3 linked regions of the Drosophila melanogaster genome follow. The protein of the gene in region 3 purifies or fractionates together with the protein of the main gene of each other region. This does not show direct contact. Each region holds a gene or a part of one and is shown on either strand. Other genes may lie near its edges. The genes, in order: Orc3, thoc5 and CG9890.

The links.
Region 1: the proteins of CG9890 (region 3) and Orc3 purify together in Drosophila melanogaster (affinity purification with western blotting, with the first as the bait; one study listed by BioGRID). This does not show direct contact.
Region 2: the proteins of CG9890 (region 3) and thoc5 purify together in Drosophila melanogaster (affinity purification with western blotting, with the first as the bait; one study listed by BioGRID). This does not show direct contact.

The regions. Positions count from the first base shown.
Region 1 is NT_033778.4:13,203,202-13,209,784, forward strand, and holds the start of Orc3 (origin recognition complex subunit 3), read right to left. Parts: upstream 3,347-6,583; 5' UTR 3,308-3,346; coding exon of another isoform or gene 3,180-3,307; intron 3,124-3,179; coding exon of another isoform or gene 2,979-3,123; intron 2,923-2,978; coding exon of another isoform or gene 2,797-2,922; intron 2,725-2,796; coding exon of another isoform or gene 2,575-2,724; intron 2,516-2,574; coding exon of another isoform or gene 2,275-2,515; intron 2,200-2,274; coding exon of another isoform or gene 2,189-2,199; 5' UTR 2,008-2,188; coding exon 1,981-2,007; intron 1,918-1,980; coding exon 1,114-1,917; intron 1,055-1,113; coding exon 1-1,054. Other genes in the region: CG34315 (uncharacterized protein), read right to left, coding at 2,189-2,199, 2,275-2,515, 2,575-2,724, 2,797-2,922, 2,979-3,123, 3,180-3,307; FLASH (FLICE-associated huge protein), read left to right, coding at 3,891-4,148, 4,205-4,395, 4,450-4,992, 5,052-6,583.
Region 2 is NT_033778.4:23,952,106-23,958,688, reverse strand, and holds thoc5 (thoc5), read right to left. Parts: upstream 4,599-6,583; 5' UTR 4,526-4,598; coding exon 4,451-4,525; intron 4,391-4,450; coding exon 3,596-4,390; intron 3,542-3,595; coding exon 3,429-3,541; intron 3,371-3,428; coding exon 3,283-3,370; intron 3,230-3,282; coding exon 2,693-3,229; intron 2,637-2,692; coding exon 2,394-2,636; 3' UTR 2,283-2,393; downstream 1-2,282. Other genes in the region: alpha-Catr (alpha-catenin related), read right to left, coding at 1-116, 177-357, 470-499; CG16787 (uncharacterized protein), read left to right, coding at 1,507-2,268; CG3803 (uncharacterized protein), read left to right, coding at 4,774-4,866, 4,948-5,050, 5,108-5,240, 5,299-6,151; Stoml2 (stomatin like 2), read right to left, coding at 6,255-6,536. UniProt on the Drosophila melanogaster protein: The THO complex is required for cell proliferation and for proper export of heat-shock mRNAs under heat stress.
Region 3 is NT_033778.4:23,061,067-23,067,649, forward strand, and holds CG9890 (uncharacterized protein), read right to left. Parts: upstream 3,195-6,583; 5' UTR 3,156-3,194; coding exon 2,909-3,155; intron 2,855-2,908; coding exon 1,743-2,854; 3' UTR 1,681-1,742; downstream 1-1,680. Other genes in the region: Fatp2 (fatty acid transport protein 2), read left to right, coding at 1-191; DCTN3-p24 (dynactin 3, p24 subunit), read right to left, coding at 866-1,444; PPO3 (prophenoloxidase 3), read left to right, coding at 3,763-4,749, 4,814-4,909, 4,971-5,708, 5,771-6,001. UniProt on the Drosophila melanogaster protein: DNA binding protein which is involved in the positive regulation of both basal and inducible transcription.

The sequences.
Region 1 (6,583 bases), 9.9 Mb from region 3:
ACTTGCACTGCATGTAAAAATGTGGATTATTCAGGGCAGTGTGCAGTGCAGCCCGCGGAGCACCAATTATGTTTCGCCGCACGGTAGCAATGTCGCTGAACACAAAAAGTTCGTGAATAGGTGGTGCATCCTGCAGCGCACGGAGATGATCCTGTACAATCTGCGTTTCGATAAGCTGCAGAGTCTTTTGTAGAGCTCGTCCGAATTGGGTGGTGGGCGTGTTCAGCTGATGCCGCATCTTGTCCTCCTTGCTACGCTGTAGGAGCTGATCTTTCAATTCTTGACGCGAGGCCACCGGAGTCAAATGGTCAGTCGCCTGGCGGGTTTCATTGGGCGATGTCGTTGTAATTGTCGCCATGGTGGCCTTGACCACTTCGTCCACTGCAAGGCGTATAGCTTCTAACTTAGGTCTCAGCACAGCAGTGCAGGCCTCGCCCAATTCCAGCGGAGCAATTTCTTCAACCAGGAACTGTTCGGTTCTTTCCAGGGCTCGATTCACTTTAGCAACAAATTCGTCCTTGGACAGAAAGCTTAGCATCTGCAGGCACTCCTTGTACTCCGGCGTCGAAATGATCGCACGATTAAGACAGTTGACGTACAGTTCCCGGCGTAGCTTTCCCAGCGGACAGCGCGGCAAATCACCAACCAGCTCTGTAAGGAACTCCAGAGAGCAGCGGAAAAGCAGGAAGTGGAGCAGGCAGTCGCGCAGCAACTGCGGCAGTTTCTTCTTTAGGTAGTCATCGTCCGTGAGCACGGCTATGATGCGTTTGCAATCATTGATCTGCTCGACGTACGGACGAAACGATGGGAGCCTTCTGATGGTTTCCATATCCTCGTGGGTCAGCTGCTTTATGCGTCCCAATGCTTTGCTGTAGTCTGTGCAAAGAGCAAAGGCATTCCCACCAAAGAAGTGTTCCATCAGGCAGTACTTGAAGCCCTGAATAAAGCCGTGGATGGAGAAGTCGTAGTATAGGAAGATGTGCGTCAGGAACTTGAATGTCTTTCCCGACAGGTGGAAAGCGTACTTGGGCGACAGCAGAACTTTATCCAGCACCTAAAGGTTGTTAGAAAACCGATTAGTACATAAACTAGCACAGAGTTAAGGAATATTACCTCATTAAGGCCCGTGGGAGCAGCTTGAGTCTGGAACACCCTTAGACGAATCTTGCTGCTGACGTGGTATGGTAGTGTCCCATGGACAGCTGTCATGGCCGTGGCCACTCCCAGGACCAGGACGAATGGAAGCGAGCCGCAGTGAGCGCTCAAAATTAGAATAAGATCCTGCAGCACGCTTGCGTTAAAGCACTCAAAGTCGGGAAGGATGACGACCAGCTGGCGGCGCTTCTGTTCCGAGTCAAAATTGTTCGTGTACCAAGACTTCAACTGCTTCATGGTGCACTGCGAGCGACGTAGCCGCTTGCGATCCCGTTCGGCACCATCCTCGTCCTCGTCCTCGTCTTCCATTTGCTCCACTTCTGCATTATCTTCTACGAGCCCGAAAACCAATGTCTCAACGGCCGCCTTGAGAGTGGCGCAATCCCTGGACTGCAGCACACATACCATTGCAGCACGTTGGGCATGGAGTCGCTGGGTAAGTGCCGTGAACTGGCTGAGATGATCCGGCTGATTAATGCCCGTTAGCAAGGCGGCGGTGGGCAGCACCTCGTCCGGGGTGTCGCGCTCTGCCTGCCCCACCACAAAGTCCACCAGTTGCTCCAGAGTGCGGGCATAGCTGCGGTGCTGCAGGTCGGCAATGTGATCGTTTATCTGATTCCAGGCCTTGCGATATTCCTCATAGAAGGGCTGCTGCACTACCTCTTTGCCAAGAAGACTACTGGATTCTGCGGCAGGACGCTTCCGTTTGCTGGCCGCCTTTTTCCCTGCTCTCGTAGCGCCATTTTTGTAGACAAAACAGCCCTGCAGACAACAAAAATAAGTAGTTAAACATCTATGTCCAGTTTGGAAGCCGAAGCCACTCACCTTGGACACTGAAATGGTGGGATCCATCGCTGGCTTTGCACTGCGGCCCGATGTCGTGGAGTCTTTAAGTCGCCGGGTTGCGTTTATTTATTTATTTGTTTAGGTCAGCTCTGTGCCAATTAAAGTTTCTTCACCGGTAGGAACGCGAAATGAAATCAGCTGGCTGTTGTGTTTGGCGCCAAACGGGCGGCAGTGTTGGCTAACGACTTTAGGGGGTATCTTTGAAAACAAGTGTGAAAAGTATAAATTAATTGAATATTTCATCTAACATGAACTAATAATAAGAAATCATACCCTTCGTGCTCGTACGCCACCATTTTGGTGGATACGAATTCGTCGTAGTTTCTGTGAACAGCACCAAGTTTTTTGAACGTTCGCCATCGCAACGATCCGACCATTTTGGGGCCACTTGGAATGAGAAAAGATAGAGGAGCAGGAAATCGAGGAACAGTATGATGGCTGCCAGGAAGTAGTCCTTCGTGCGCATCTCGGCGAACCTTCCACCGTTTATAATCTGCGCGTGATACATGACAAACTGTAAGGAGGAAACTAAATGACAGAAACTAATTCAAAAATGTATGACTCAGTACTAACCATCAAGATGCTGATCACTATAAAGCAACGGGCGATTATAAACGAGTATGCGACATTAGCCACGATGTAGAGCATCACGAAGTATATGGCGCCGATAATGGAAACCACTGCAAGCACAAATAGCACCACAACATCCAAAGTAAGATCCAGCTTAAGGGGATAACAATAAAAATGTGAAGCTTCAGATTTGAATCAAATGGCTTTCATGTGGACTCTTCTTACCGGAAGAAAGGAACCACAGACAATAAAAAGCGCCAATGCTACGGTCCATATAAGGAAGCTGAAGAGAAACTGATACTTGTAGTGGCGGGCAACCAGCGGTGCAATCCCCAGTACAATGCATTCAAACTGGAAAGAATAAGTTCATACTGCCACCCAGGTTATGTTTCACATTGTAGACTTACAATTAGAAAGGCAAACAACCAGTTTACCATTTTATTAAAGCGCAGTACCTCGAAAAATATGAAAAGTACGAGGAGTATCAGGCCTATTCCAAAAAAAAGGCAGCTCAACCAATGGTACGAAGTAAAAAATTCCCTTAGAAAATTTCTGAAAATTAAGAAAAAGTGCAGTGAGGATGAAGTAATGTGAAAATACATACGTACACAAAGCGGAAAGTGGCCCATTGCAACAGCGCAAGGATCAGGAATATCGCGGTTAGTAGGTAAGTGATCAGAGCGAACTTTCTTCTTTCCTTCTTGTAGTAAGAACTTTTTTCCGGAATGTCTGCCATTGTGTAGTGTTTCTCGAGTATTATTGTTTGTATTGTGATGTTTTTTTTTAACGAATTTAAGTGTACAGTAATACGAAATGGGAACTAGATTGATTTTAAAATTATATTCTTGGGAAAACACGTAAGTGCATAATAAAATTTTTAAAATATTCGTTTTGGCGCCAAATGTTGCTGCTGGATATCGATATCCACTATCAGGGTTGCCACATTTTCAGCCGGTCAGCTGTTGCTTCCGATAATCAACTGCATCTTCTGTTATCGATTGGCGGCAACACGGGATTTTCTAACAATATTAAATAGAATAATAATAATAATTACATTTATACAAATACACGGCAGGGAAACAAATTGCACGCCAGTTTGGAGGAAATGCTCAGGACAGTGACCATTGAGCTTTAGTGGAACTTTTATTCCCTGAAACAAAAATCAAGAACATTGAAATTCTTTTGTGTTTCGAATTTTGATCAATTTATGACTGAACAGGTAATCAATAAAGTAGCTCCATTAAAAAACAGTAACTCTAACAATTCATTTTATGTATCCTTGTTTAAAGGGCAGCCAAGAAGAAACGTAAGCGATTGGTATGGAAACGCCTGCATATGCCACGAAATCTGGCGGAGAACTGGTGCTGCCCGAAGCTCTGGAGGACTTGATGGATTTGGAAGACCAGGACGCGGGCGGGATGAAGTCCAACGTTAAGGATAAATCCATGGATTTGGATATCTATCACGATTTGTACGATATAGAGCCTGCAGGTTCAAAGAAGCCTGACCAAATGGACAGATCCCTTGAACTGGACATCTACGATGATTTGGACGACTTTCAGAAGGCCGAAGATCGTGTAAGTTGTGCAGGAATACGTCCTTTCAGCAGAGTTACCCATTTACCATCTCACAGAATACCAAGGAGCTACAGGCATGGGAAGCCAAATACGAAAAGGCACTGGCCGAAATTGAAGCGCTAAAGGTTGAGAATAAGGCACTTGGCAAGAAGATAAAAACCATGGAGGTTAATCTACAGAATCTACTGGACACAGCTAAGGCGGAGGTAAAGAGAAAAGAGACACTGATTGCCGAGCTGCGAAACGAGTAAGTTAGCATATTGACTCCCTGCTTCTTAACAAACAACACATTGTTCAACAGAAAGGACGATGTATGCTTCCGACGAAAACGAGCACGGGCGTTTGACGTACCAGGTGCAAGGGAACCCGAAAGTAAGCGTCCGAAAGAATTTCAATCTACACCAATCGATGTCAGGAAATATCCGGAAACGAATAGAAATCCGTTCAAAACGGCTGCAAAGGACGCCGCTAAGGATGATGCTAGGAAGATGATGACCAAAAAAGATGACACAACGAAAGTCGTATCAAAAGATGTTGAAAGAGGCGTAAAATCCAAGGAGGATAATAAGATGGCGACCAATAAAGATGATGACAAGAAGTCATCCTCAAAGGATGATGCTTGGAAATCTAGGACAAGAGAAGACGCCAAGAAATCGGTCCAAAGAAGCAAGTCTCCCAGGCCGGAACACTCAAAGACCACCGATCGGAAATCTACTGCACAGGCTCGTCGTCCAGATCCACATCGCAGCCGGAGTCCAAAACATAATTCCCGGCGAGATCATCACAGGAATCAAGAAAGCAGTTCCCGGCACGCCAAACGGCGAAGCCAATCCGCATCGCCCAGGTCAGTAAAGCAGAGGGACATAAGTTACATTTGTTGATAGCACCATCTGATTTTTGTAGCAAGATACAATTGCCAAGAGAAAAAGCAAATGCCATCATCACACTTACTGACGATGAAACAAATGACCAACGCAGCAAGAGCCCAGTCCCCGTGACCGTCAAACTCGTAACTGAATCTCAACCGGCTGAAAAAGTCGTTTCCAACCGAAGGGATGCTGCTTTAGAAACCAATGCAAATTCCTCAAAGGAATCAAAAGTAGAGACGAAGGATATTACTCAACCGACAAATGGTTTAATTGCTGAACCTTGTATTCCAAAACATGAGATTATTCCGGGGTTAAGCTTAATTAACCCAGAATCGGCGGATTTTTCTAAAAATGAGATCAAGTTAGATCCTGTAATCTTACAGGATCGTACAGAAGACTCTGGCCACCAACTTTTAAATAAGGAGCCTATTCCCAAAGTTGTAGTACTTGAAAAATGTAAAAACATTTTAGCTGAAGATTGCCCAGCTGATGAGCAACCCCTGGACAAATTCAAGGATGGAAAAGAATCTGAAGAGACACAGGCAAAGTTAGACAAAAAAGAGCCTTTTGCAGTTGAAACTGCTGTTGAAACTCCTAGCAAAGAAGAAAGCAACGACAACATAGTATTATCAAAGAATACGACGTCTCAAGCTGATGTGTGTTCTCAGCATGATGAGAATGATGAAGCAGAGATCCGAGAACCGATGGATCAAGTTAACTCCGTGGTCGAGTCCGACTTGGGAGTAAGGATTATTGAGGATATTCGGTTGCCCAAGATGGCGAATATCGACCATTTTGCTGTAAAGGTCGACAACCATGGTGAAGCGCCAGCAGCTGTCACAGATTCCGCTTTAAATCAAGAGAACCTAGCCACACAGGACCAAAAGATTTGCGCAGAGATGAAAGATCCAACTATTTTTACCACCTCGGACGAAACTCCAATAAAGTCTGCTACTATATTATACGCCAAGCCCGATTCAACAAAACTGGATCACAGCGATGAACATGACGAGGTTATCCTGGAAACTGCCATTGACATGCTGAAGAAGGAGCAGGATGCAGCGAGCACCGCAGAATCCACATATCCGAAACTGCGGATCGCAGAAGATGCCATTGAGATGGCACTAGAGCAATTGCACCAGCAGTCGCCGGACGAAACTGTGGTGACCTCAACGTCGAATAGAGCGCCGCAGACGCCAAAAAGCCTCATCACAATACTCACCCAGACTCCAAAACAGGCTGATCCACTAAGATCCCAAACGAAATCGAAGACTGTGTCGCCGATGGCGACGCCTAAGAAGACGGCCACGGAGAAGACCCCAGTGAAGAAGAGAAAGGTCAACATGGATAGTTCGCCGCAGGTGCCAGCCCATGATGTTACCATCGACGAAACTTTGGGTGCCTGCAGTCTGCAGGACGAGAGCTCAACTGTGACCAAACGCTGCTCCCTGGGCCACACAGACTACCAGTACGAACAGATAAAGGACGAGGTCATTTTAAGAGTGAAACGACGGGGTCGCCGACGAAAGCCAACACCTATGGAAATACCTACGACTGCTGCGGACA
Region 2 (6,583 bases), 890 kb from region 3:
CAGCAGGGAGCGGGCCGCCAAAATGATGGCTCCATAGTCCTTAAGGGGCTCGATGTGGTGGCGCAGCTCCATGCCGCTTAGAGGTGAAATATCACAAAGTCGTTCAATCGATTTTCCTATCGTACAACAAAATACAATGAAAAGGATGTACCAGGCTGGAAAGGATGTCTTCTTACCCGCATCTCTGGCCTCCTTCGCCGCCTCGTACATGTCTCCCTTGATGTCAATATTCTCCTCGGCGATGATCTCGCCAATGGTTATAAATCGCTCCACGGCAATGTTCAGCAGGTGACCTATGTTCCCAAAAGTGGACATGATCTGCTCGTTATCCATATCACGAACTCGAAAGCGTTGATTCTGGAGAGGGGAAGGAGAGCCCACATTGGCAGTTGGTTGGGTTTCAAGGCCAATCAATAATCGCTGAGGACTAGAACGGAAAGTTATCCCGGACAGCCGGTTGGGTACTTACGTTAACAGTTGATTGAGTGATTCCGTACATTTTGGATAGCTCGGTTACCGATAGAAAAATTGATTATACGTAGTTTAAGAGTATCCGCAAAGCGAGTTTCAGGCATGCAGCATTTTTATTTACTTCCTATTGATTTTTCTCAATACTAGGGCTAGCAGAGTCGAGTAGACATTGCAACTAAGTCGAGAATTTGGCACTCAATAATACGGTCACCGATTAGCGCGTCATAGTACGAGGCTCTATGGGTTTAAGCTCAAATAAAAGTCGATTTTTCAGCCAGCGAAAGCTCCTCAGCTCAAATTAGTGTTATATAGCTGGGTGGCTGTAAACAACGTGTTTACCTGCAGACAGATATATGTGTATGCCCCCAGATTTGTGTGTGATTCGAGCTTGTAACAAATTGGTCTGCGCAGCAAGTCTGCGCACAAAACCATTTAGTACTGTAAAGTGCAACAGTTTCTCGTCAAACGCCTCCTGTGGGATTCGATGCGGATGCGAGTGCCTGGATTCGATGCTTGTTGAGGTACCAAACATTTATCAGAAGAACAACCAAGAAAACCGCATAAGGCAACTCCAAAACCATGTACTTACATAAATGAAAAGTGTTTGAGATTATTGCACTTCAAAAAAGAGACAACATATTTCATGTAATAAGCTTGAAACACTAAATTCAAACCAAATAAGTTATATTTTCCATTTTCATGACTTCCGGTTGCGGAAGTTAATTTGTGAAACTAATCCGGCATGACAACCCTGGACAACGGGAGTTCCCCTAACATCCACACTGGCACTCGCAGCTATTGGGACATTACACACAGTCTGGCCACACTGCAGCCCAACGACCATATGATTTTTGCCGAGTATTTTATTTCCAAATGTTGTTACCTAAACACGAGCACGTCAAATTCCTGAGGGCCGCAAACGAAAAATAGCCAGGATCTAAGTTCAATTTGAATGGTGTGATCTGCAGACGAGGCAGATCTGAATCGAGGAAACCCAGTTCCGGTGAAGGAAGTAGCACACAAAGTCCTTGCAAGATGTTGCGAAATTTCGGGATTTCATCAATAAGAAGGAGCAGCTGGATGGCCAACTGGTGCTCCAAGGAGCGGGCGTGGGCGTCCGCCATGCGGCTAAGTGCGTCTGCGCCGGCGAAGTGTCCACAAAAGTTGTTAAACAGCCATGCCGCCAATAACCTCCAGCAAAGTCGAAGGGCCTACGAGAGCACCAAAGCGGAGAGGCTGCCCGGGAACCCTAAGGAGAACGAGCGTAAGCCCGAGGACCTGGATAGAGCCTACGAGGTTCTGAGGACCACGCTACCAAAGCTGTTCGTGGAGCCCCTAGACTACTCCATTTACAGCCCGGGCCTAATCTTCCACAACAACATAACGGGCAAGCACACGGTGGGCCTGTACCACTACGTCAAACAGATCGCCATCCTGCGAACGGTTGGCCACCTGAAGTACGCCTACGTGAAATTCGAGGTGCTCAAGATCACGAAGCACCAGGACGACTACACAGTGCGGATAAGGTGGCGAGTGCGCGGCATTTCCGGCCTGAAGGTCATGTTCCAGTTCTGGAAGTACAAGCTCTGGCAACTGAAGGAGGTGCTGAAGGATCAGGAGGCCTGGTACGACGGCTACTCTGTCTGCTATCTGGGCGACGATGGGCTGATCGTCAAGCACGTCGTGGACAAAGTGATGCCGGACGAGAGTCGGGAGGCGGTTGAGAACCCTTCTGCGACGGCACTACCTCCCGGATCCTTGGCAGCGACCTCTTCCCAGAAGATCAACTGCCAATGAAGTCGTAGCTAGCTAGCTTTAAATGTTACTTATTTATTGTATTACTAATCGTAATAAACGCAACTGTGAGAACGTTTAGTAACCGCATTGGCGCATTGTGTTGTACAACATTCGTTATTCAACTGTCACTGCTTGAACGCGTAGACCGATCCCTTCTTGATGTATTTGTAGGGGCGTGAGCGGCTCCGCTTGGCGAAGGCGCTTATGTAAGGCTTCTCCTTGTTGTACTCAATGGTGTTTTGCATGGATCCCTCGGTTTCGAGGAATATATCGAAGCTGTAGATGGTGCGGAAGAGCTGCGCGTACAGGATGCAGTCGTTGGGCTCCAAATGTTTGGGCTGCAGGGAGTTGGTCCAGAACTCCATCATCTGAGGAATACAAGTTTAAAAGCTAATTGGAGGATAATACCTGAATAAGTTCAAACCTTGATCGCCGAATTGTTTTGCGCGGTAAGGCATCCGTTCCAGTGCACATTCAGAATCCATAGAGGCATTTCCAGTGGATAGTTACTCGGTATTCTAATAAAGCACTCCATTTTGGCCGATCCCCGGACGATGACAGCGCGGTAAGAGTTGTACGTAATACCCTTGTCCGCTGACGAAGAATTCAGTGCGTCTGAAATTTGCGAGTGAAGCTCCTCATGTGTGATGGCAGTCCATTGGACGAGACTGCACGACAGGCCGGCTGGATAGATGTTCTCCTGCAAGCTATACAAATCGATATCCTTGAAGGTCAGCCCGCGAATCTGCTGGCTTAAACGCTGCCAAGAGTTCAAGCGCCTGGCAATGCGGTCAATAATCTCCTTGTTGTTCTTATTCAAGTTCAGTTCGTGTTTGTACAGCATCGAACTGTTGACGGTTGCAATCGAGCACATACTTTGCAGCCAACAGAAGGGTTTTCCGTAGTCCTTGGCCTTGAGGTAGCGCACACATTCCTCGGCTGTTAAATCCGAGCTTCGTAGCTGAAAGAGCGTAATTTAATTGGTTGTCCAACGTTGGATAAGGAAGTTCTTACCTCGTATTGGATTCCCGGAATGGGTAATTCATTGCCCAAGTCATTGGGGTACAAATGCCGCAATAGGTGGTGAACAAAGTTTGTGTCACTGTGAAAAAATGCCTAGTTATTTATGCGATTTTTTCCTAGGTGTGTTCCAAACTTACCCCTGGCCGTTGGCATTCCTGGAGCAGTTAAGTTGGCCCCAGACAGTGGCACACTTGATAAAATCAAAGTAGCGAATCTGCAAAACGAGCTGATTCGATCCAGCCGCTCCAATCTTTAAAGTTTAGGTTAATAAATGTTTTGGAATGAGCAAACCATGTCATCCTACCGTCAAACAAATGTGTAGTGGGTGAGGAGCGAGTGAGTCGTCCAAGTTGTTTTTATCGGCAATCTTTTCCCGGTCTCCACTTTCCTTTTTAGTCTGTCTGTAGTTCAATGTGGAGCACTTTTTCTCCTTAAGCAACTCCTGCATTTGAGCCTCGCTCTCATAGCCAACCACCTCGGCGGTGAAGGACTGCTCCTCGCTGACCCGCTGCAGCGATTGCAGGACAATGAACAAAACGTAGAGCGGCTTGGGCAGGTACTTGACCACTGCGCTTAGCTTCCATTCCACGTCCAGGGATAGCTGGAGTGCATCGTGCAGCGGCTTTGTGGCGCTCTGCAGAGTGCGCAAGGCGGGTGCGAAGGAGACGTACCGCTGGGCGTGGCTAAGATTGTCCTGGAGCAGTTCCTGCTTGGAGCTCAGCAGGGCGCTGTACTGCTTGTCGAGTGCCTTCCGCAGACGCAGCTCGCAGTCGAGGCGATGAAGGTGCTGCTTGTGGCTGGACAGCTCCTCCGCGTCGTTGGGCATGTCTGGCAGCTCGCTGGAGTACTCGGCTTCCGAGAGCAGCTCCAAGCTGGTGTCCCTGCTCTTGAACTTCTGGCAGCGCACAATCTCCTTCTTCAGGTGGCTCACTTCGTACAGAAGATTCTGCAGCTGCAGCCGGCTGAGGTCCACCTTGCACTTTTCCAGGTGCAGCTTGTCGCGCCCCGCTTTGATCTTGTGCTTCACCTCGCGGTTGGCGTGCTTCAGAGCCACGAACATCAAGGTGGTGGCAATGCGAGCCTCATCCGTCGATTGCCCCTGCTCGTGACGGATGTGGACGGATTTAGAGCTGTACTCTGGCACGGAAATCGGACTTACCTTGCTCTTCGCCTCCTTAATTCCCTCTATGGCCTTTTGCAGCTGATCGAACTGCGTGTTCAATATTGTTTCCATTTTATTTGGCGAAATTGTAAATCAGAAGCCGCAAAAGTTGTTTTTATTAACAAAACTGATATAATGTGGCCAGGCTATCGAGTCGATAACATTCGCCGGTACTTTTCAAAATGATTTTAGTATATGCGCATACCCCACTGCTGCGGTCACACTTGGTAGCGGCTTTGTAAATATAGTTAAAAAACAAAATATATCCTTTAATATTTGCTGTAAGCTTAAGTTAATCTCTCCAAACTTGAAATAACACAATGCTGCGATTGCTCCAGAAGAGAACCAATCTCATAAAGCTAGTAGTACCCGGCCCCCGACTTCACCAGACGATTGCGCAAACAGCGATAAAGGTTGCATTAATATCCCACTGATTACATATAAAAATATGTTTTTATTTATAAAGTAATATTTGTTAATGCCGCACCTTTCAGGAAATCCCAGTGATAAAGCCCATCAGCACTCCGAAAAGCGACAAGACCGTCGGAAGATGGTTCCTGGGAGTCAGCGGCATGGTCTTCGTGGCCGTTGGTCTAGGTAACCAATAACAAAATGTAAAGTTTGTAGTTCCTTGCGAAAGTGAATCTCTTCCAGGCGGAGTAACCCGACTGACAGAGTCCGGACTGTCCATGGTCACTTGGAAGCTGACGGGTGAACGTATGCCCCGAACCCAGGAGGAATGGGTGCAGGAGTTCAATCTCTACCAGCAATACCCAGAGTACAAGCTGTGAGTACTCCCCAGATTCATCCAACGCCAGGAACTACATGCAAACTTCTGCTTTCAGAAAGAATGTGAATATGACCGTGGAGGAGTTCAAGTTCATTTTCATGATGGAGTACATGCACAGGATGTGGGGTCGTGCCATCGGCGGGTTCTTCCTTTTGCCCGCTGTTTACTTCTGGAGAAAGGGATACTTCTGTGCGAAGACCAAGAAGAGCGTCCTGCTGCTGGGCACACTGATTGGCCTGCAAGGTCTGATGGGATGGTACATGGTCAAGTCCGGGCTGGAAGACAGGTTCCAGGATCCCAACGACGTGCCACGGGTATCCCAGTATAGATTGGCCTCCCACCTGGCAGCTGCCTTCGTCCTGTACTCACTCTCCCTGTCAAAGGCCATGTCCCTGCTCATCCCCACGAACACATTCGTGATCCAAGCCAAGAAAGCATTTAATATCAAGGGGCTGACGCATTTGACGAAGGCAATGGTCCTGCTGACTGCCATTTCTGGAGCCTTTGTAGCCGGACTAGACGCCGGACTCGTGTACAACTCGTTCCCGAAGATGGGCGACAAGTGGATTCCCGATGACATGTGGACGTTTGCGCCCATACAGAAGAACATCACCGAGAATCCGACGACGGTGCAGTTCAATCACCGCATCCTTGGTATTAGCACAGTAACGCTGACCACCGCTCTGTGGCTGGTCACCAGAAGGATGCAGTTGCCCAAGCGCGCCAACTGGGCCATCAACGCCGTGGTGGCTATGGCCTGGACGCAGGCCACGCTTGGCGTAACCACCTTGCTTAACTACGTGCCCGTGCCTCTGGCAACGGCCCACCAGTCGGGCTCGCTTATTCTGCTGAGTTTCGCATTGTGGCTGTCGCACGAGGTTCGACTGTTGAAGTACCTTCCGAAGTAAATAAATAGGCGTTTATTTGTTGAACCAAAAATTTAATATCCTCGCCTTGATAATAACAACTATGAGTGGGGCAAATGTAATAGCAACAACCGTTTATTCATTCCTATTCAATATTCATTTTCACACTGCTTTTATCCTCCTGCAACTCCTTGTACTCAACACTCTTTGCGTTCAGGCAGGCGCCCACACCCTTCACGTTTTCCGATGACTTGGTGGCCTGGTTAGAGTTGGAAACGTGGTTGTACACCGCCAGGGCCTGGGCCACGAAGCCATTAACATCCCCGGGATTCGAGGGCAAGATCATGGTGTTATTCGTCTTGGCCAGCTTCTTGAAGGCTCCAATGTACTGCTCGGCCAGCGTGAGCGAAGCAGCATTCTGTCCATCCTGAAATGCATAAGACGAAAACCACGATCTTAAATTAAGAAACCATA
Region 3 (6,583 bases):
AGTTTCTCAGATTCCTGCGCAAAATCGACCTGACGGGCACCTTCAAGTTGCGCAAGGTGGAGCTTCAGCAGCAGGGCTTCAATCCGGAGATCATCGACGATGAACTCTTCTACGCCCAACCGGATGGCGTGTATGCTCCACTCACCCCATCCGTATACGAGAGGATAGTTAGAAACGAGCTGCGATTCTAGGAGCGCCGGACTTTGTTCTTGGGAAGAAGAAAAGTCAAGACTGTGCCTTGTATGTTGGTGAAGAGGATATCCTTTGGATTCGGCTTGTGGTGCGCCAACTACTTTTAATTCTGGCTAAGTTTCTTATTGTCCGGACAATATAAACTTTAGCATTGGAAATTTACTGTTGAAAGAGCGTTTCCGCGGGTAAATTATTATTTTGTAACTATTTCCTTCTACAATTCCTACATACATAAGTGTCACATCGTATTGTATACATTGTATAGATAATAAAAATAAAATTCAGCCAATGATAAATCCATATTGTGCTCTATTATGTGATTATAGCATTTTCCTTCTGTAAGACAGGATTTTGATTGGTTTTCATTAGATTTGTAATTTAGTTTATTGTGCTTAGTTAAATAGTTTTTAAAAATGAAACTTACAATTGAAAGAGCATCATTAGCCACTTTACGTTGGAGTAGTTAGAAAATCTAATATCCCGGCTTCCTTAAACAGTTCCAATCAAATCGGGATGGCTTTAGCTACGATTACACTTTTCAATAGAACCTAGGTTACATCCATTGCTTGAGCAACTGATGCCTTCAGCTTAAGTGGAACCAGATTTTCAGGTGAACGGATTTGGAAACGGGGTCGTATAAAATACTTTCAGCAGTCTTTGGATCTATATCCGCTCAATCCTTGGGCGGCACATCCTTGCTCAACTCTGCACGCTTCCTCTGCTCCATGCGCTCCTCTACCTGGTCCAAGCGCTCGCTCATGGCATCCAGGGAGCTCAGCAGTCCCGCCTGGATCTCGCCATATCGCTTCATGGCCAGGACCAGACTCTCCTCGATAAGTTCGCTCTGCTGCGCGTACTCCCCGTTGTTCTGCGTTATGCCCTTTAGCTGCTCCAGACACTCGGCGGGAATGCTGCGGAAGTACTCCGCGCCCAGGGCCGGTTCCAGCTGCTTAATCCTCTCCAGCTGCTCGGCCTGCGTGTGCAGCTCGGGGGCCACGGCTTGCAGGTACACCTCCTTGGAGCGCACCTGCTGGTGCTCCTCCAGGAAGTTGGGGTCCAGGTACTTCTCCAGCTCGTCAGATCTCTTCACGCACTGCTGCAGTGCAGCACTTCCTGTGGTTGCTTCGCCCAGGATGGCGTGTGCCGAGCACAGGGCGTCGACCACGCCCTCGCCCACCTCAGAGTCCTGGACCGGACCCAGGACTCGTGTCAGGGCATCGATGCGCTTCTCCAGAATGTCCAGTGCCTCCATTTTTCGCTGAATTTCTCTTTATTTTGTTCGTTTTGATGGGAATGATGTCAGTCTGCAAAACAATCGATGTCCAACGAAAAGGTGGCAACGTTAGCTTGGTGGCAAGGTTCTTGTACTCGCTAAGCAGAACGAATTAACCCTTATGCGGACTAAAAAATATGGTATTTAAATAAAATATTTAGCTCCTCTGCATAAAGTTTTTGGTGCATACGTATCTATAAATATAGTACACACTTAAATTCCATTGCTATTTACTTAGTTTCTTTTAAACGTAAACTGTACAATACAAAAATCTCAGTTACAACAGCTTAAAATTCTCGAGGGACAACCGCTCCGCATCCTTGTTGATCTGCGCCAGACTATCCTCGGAGATGATGCGCACCGTATCGACGTCCGGGTCATCGCCTCCGGAATCATCCAGCACACACAGCAGACCATCGTTCTCGATGTACGGGAAGAAGAACTCGGGCTTGTCCCAGCTCTCCTTATCGCCGATTCCGTGGTGCGACTCTTGTGCCATGTGCTCCACGAGCAGCTCCTCCTCGTCGAACTGCAGATCGCAGGTCACGCAGCGCAGCAGGCACATTTGGCGGCGCAGGTAGTTGACCACCTTGACGCGTTGGTAGAAGTTCAGAGAGCTGGTGGCCTTCTCGAAATCCAAGCGATGAACCTCGTGCATGTGCTTCTTGAGGGCGGTGAAGTTGTCGCCGAGATGGTGGCAAAACAGGCACTTAATGGAGCTAGGCTCACCATCTGCCGCCCAATCCGACCAGTCCGAATCGTGTTCGCCATCCGAATCAGGGCGAGCGAAGTGCTTGTCGAAGTCCACGCTGCCGGTTTCAGGATCAGCAACTGTGGACACGGATGCCGTTTCCCGTCTTCGCTTTTGGAGGTGCTGTTTCCGGGGCGTGGGGGCCGTTGGTACACGATTGTAGTTGATAAGGAAGTACTTGTCGTACTCCCTTCGGTTCGGATTGATCCGCTTGTGGCCCTTCTTGCGCATGTGTTCCTTGAGCGTGGGCCGATCCCTGAAGATCTTCTCGCAGTAGAGGCACATTAACCGATTCAAGTTCTCCTCCAGGTGATCCAGCAGTTCGTCCACATACACCAGCTTCTCGGGCTTGCCGACCAACAGAAAGTGCTTGTCAAACAGATGGTCCAGATAGTCCGCCCTCAATCCCTTGATGATGGCCCTGCAGAAAAGGCACTCCTTGGAGAAGGTGCGGTCGGTTAGCTCGAACTGATGTCGCTCCAGGGCTTCACTTAGGCGCTTCTCCTTCAACCTTCGCCGCAGCTCGTAGTCCTGGGGCAGGATGTCACACAGCAGGTAGTACTTTTCGTTCTTGGCGTACTTGCCATCGGGCAGCTGATCCAGGAACATTGTGGTGCAATATTGCTCGAATTCGTGGGCTAAAATGGGTAACAATTATTAAATTTTCAGGGTAGGGTTGCTGATTCTCTCACTGTGAAACTCCTTTTCCCAGTACTGGAGGTAGTCCTCCAGAAGCGCTATATCCTCCACATCGGCGATGACCAGTCGGTGCTCCATATACAAATGCGCCAGGCAGTCATCTTTATCTGACGGAAATATGTACACCTTGTCGCATTTCAGGCACTTGATGGCCGTGTTCTTGGAGGGCTTGAGTTTCGAACTGCCAGTGATCTCCTCCAGCGAGGAATCCCCTCCTGAAACAGCCACCTCGTGCTCCATTTGTTTACGTTCTCCTGGTGCTCCACGAATAAGTGTGACCGCAGGTGCTTAGCGGCAAAATACTGTTTGCGAGATAAGCTTAATTATGACGTACACTGGAAACAATTGAAAATTTAATGAATTTAATTTAATGCACAAAAAAAATTAAATAAATACTTACAACTGTCTTATGAAGACTAAATAATCAAAAAATGATATTCAGTATTTTCGATGTAGACAACACGTACTGGAAATGTTAATATCCTTATAGGATATTATACGATTCAAATATTTGTAACTTATCTGTGAATTAAAATTCTGAAACTTACAAATACATTGTTCGTTAAGTTTTCAACAGACTATGATGAATCAGCAGCATCTTATCGGTTAAAAATGTTTTTTTCGGAACTCTGTGATTCAATGCTTATACTATGGCAATAGTTAAAAATTCTTAAGTTAGTAATATTTTAGATTGTTTTTTGGGGTTGACGAACTTGAGATGTTCGCCATGTAACCATAGGGCATTTCGGCTGCTGGGTATAAAAGGAGCTGATAGTTGGGTGGGGACGTGCAGTTGAGAATCAGCAACTGCTCGCTAAAGGTCCTCCTAATCGCGAATCCATCGAAAATGGCCGACAAGAAGAATCTGCTCCTTCTGTTCGATCATCCCACGGAGCCCGTGTTCATGGACAAGGGTGGCAATGGCACCGTCTTCGACGTGCCCGACTCCTACGTGACCGATCGCTACAATCAGATGTGCAAGAAGGTCCAGCGGCGCGTGAGCAGCGCGTCCGAGAAGAACGTTCAAGTCAAGGAGATCGCCATACCGGATCTCAGTTGCTCCATGAGACTGGGCCGCTCGGAGCAGTTCTCGATCTTCCTGAAGTCCCACCGCAAGATGGCCAGCCACCTGATCGAGATCTTCACCAAAATGCAGACCGTGGATGAGCTGCAGAGCGTGGCGGTGTACGCCAGGGATCGCGTCAATCCGGTGCTCTTCAACTACGCCTTGTCGGTGGCCCTGCTCCACCGTCCGGACACCAAGGACCTCGAACTGCCCGCCTTTGCGCAGACCTTCCCGGATCGCTTTATCGACTCGAAGATGCTTCGCAGCATGCGCGAGGAGTCCTTTGTGGTGGAGCGCTCCGCCGCCCGCCTGCCCGTCGTCAGTTCGGTCAAGTACACCGCCTCCGATCTCGATGTGGAGCACCGGCTGTGGTACTTCCGCGAGGACCTGGGCGTCAACCTGCACCACTGGCACTGGCATCTGGTCTATCCCATAGAGGCGCCCGACCGCAGCATCGTGGACAAGGACCGTCGTGGCGAGCTGTTCTACTATATGCACCAGCAGATCATTGCCCGCTACAATGCCGAGCGGCTGAGCAACCACATGGCCCGGGTGCAGCCGTTCAACAACCTGGACGAACCAATTGCCGAGGGCTACTTCCCCAAGATGGACTCGCTGGTGGCCAGTAGGGCGTATCCTCCGCGCTTCGATAACACCCGGCTGAGCGATGTGGACCGGCCTAACAACCAGTTGAGGGTTGGCATCGATGATATGAAGCGCTGGCGCGAACGCATCTACGAGGCCATCCATCAGGGCTACGTTTTGGATGTGAGTGGGGAGCTCTCCGATTCCAGGAGTACATGCATCCAACAACTAATTGGTTATTTTTTAGACGAACAATGAAAAGATCGTGCTGGATGACGCTAAGGGCATCGACATCCTGGGCAACATCATCGAGGCTTCCGATCTGACGCCCAACAGTACGCTGGTAAGGAATCTAAGTGATAATCTGTAGATCACCTTTCCATGTATATTATTTCCATCTGCAGTACGGCGACTTCCACAACATGGGGCACATACTGATTGCCTACTCACACGATCCGACCAACAAGCACCTGGAGTACGCGGGCGTGATGGGCGACGCCTCCACCGCGATGCGCGATCCGATCTTCTACAAGTGGCACGCCTTCATCGACAATATGTTCCAGGAGCACAAACGTCTGCTTTCTCCCTATGAGAAGCAAGAGCTCAGCTTTCCGGACGTTCGCGTCGAGAGCATCCAGGTGGAGAGCCAGGGTCAGGTCAACAGGCTGACCACCTTCTGGCAGGAGTCCGATGTGGACATGTCCCGTGGCCTTGATTTTGTGCCGCGCGGCCATGTCCTCGCTCGGTTCACCCATCTGCAGCACCACGAATTCAGCTACACCATCAAGGTGGAGAACTCCAGCGAGGCCACGCGGTATGGCTACGTGCGCATCTTCCTGGCGCCCAAGCTGGATGATCGCAATGCACCCATGCTGCTGGAGCAACAGCGCCTGATGATGGTGGAGCTGGACAAGTTCGTGGTTACCATGCCTCCCGGCAGCCATACGATCACCCGGAACTCCACGGAGTCGAGTGTCACCATTCCGTTCGAGCGCACCTTCCGCAACCTGGACAAGCTGGAGGAGCTGCAGAACTTCTTGTGCGGCTGCGGTTGGCCCCAGCACATGCTGATTCCGAAGGGTCGGCCCGAGGGTCTGCGCTTCGAGCTCTTCGTCATGGTTTCCAACTACGAAGAGGATAAGGTAAGGTGTCTTTAGAGTATACTGCGAATGCCTCCTGATCCCAATCCTCTTTCCTTGTGCAGGTTGACCAGACGGTCGCAGATTGCGGCTGCAGCATCGCCGCTTCCTACTGCGGCCTGCGCGATCGCCTCTATCCGGATCGCAAGTCCATGGGCTTCCCCTTCGATCGCAAGCCGCGTCGAGGCTCCGAGATCCTGGAGAACTTCCTGACGCCCAACATGTGCGCCGTGGAGGTCATCATTACCCACGAGGACCGCACCGAGAAGCTTCGCGAGGTACCAGCTCGCTCCTGAATAAGAGAAGCATCTTGTTATGGCCAGTTTCATTTTTTGGCTTAAAGAGAAGCCACTAATAACGGTCTATAGCTTTCTCGCTGTGTAGAAAATACCAAATAAATTAATGAAATACTATCAGATGCCAAAATACCAGTTTACCGTTGGAACTCCCCGCGAACGGTCACACTGTGCTGCGGTTGGGGGCGGAATTGAATTTATTTGCAAACAAAAATCGAAACACGGGAGCTCGACGTTAGCGTAAGTGTTACGGCCACCGATTCAGCTGCTGGCCAATTAAAATATCATCGATGTTGCACACAGATACGCCGCACAGACACTCACGCACACACGCACCGCCTGGGAGCAAGATTCGAGCCCAGAATCTCAATTTGATCAATTTAGCATTCTGGCCATTTGACAATACAAATTGAGACTCGTCTGCACTGGGTACAAAGTTCAGTCCGTGTGCATTGGCCTGTGCCTGTGTGCGTGCATTCGGGCGTGTGTGCCTGTGTGAGTCTGTGTGTGCAGTACGCAAATGAGAGGAGAAAAAGCAAGAAACCACTGCCAATCATTTTTCAGTCTGTGTCCAAAGCGCTT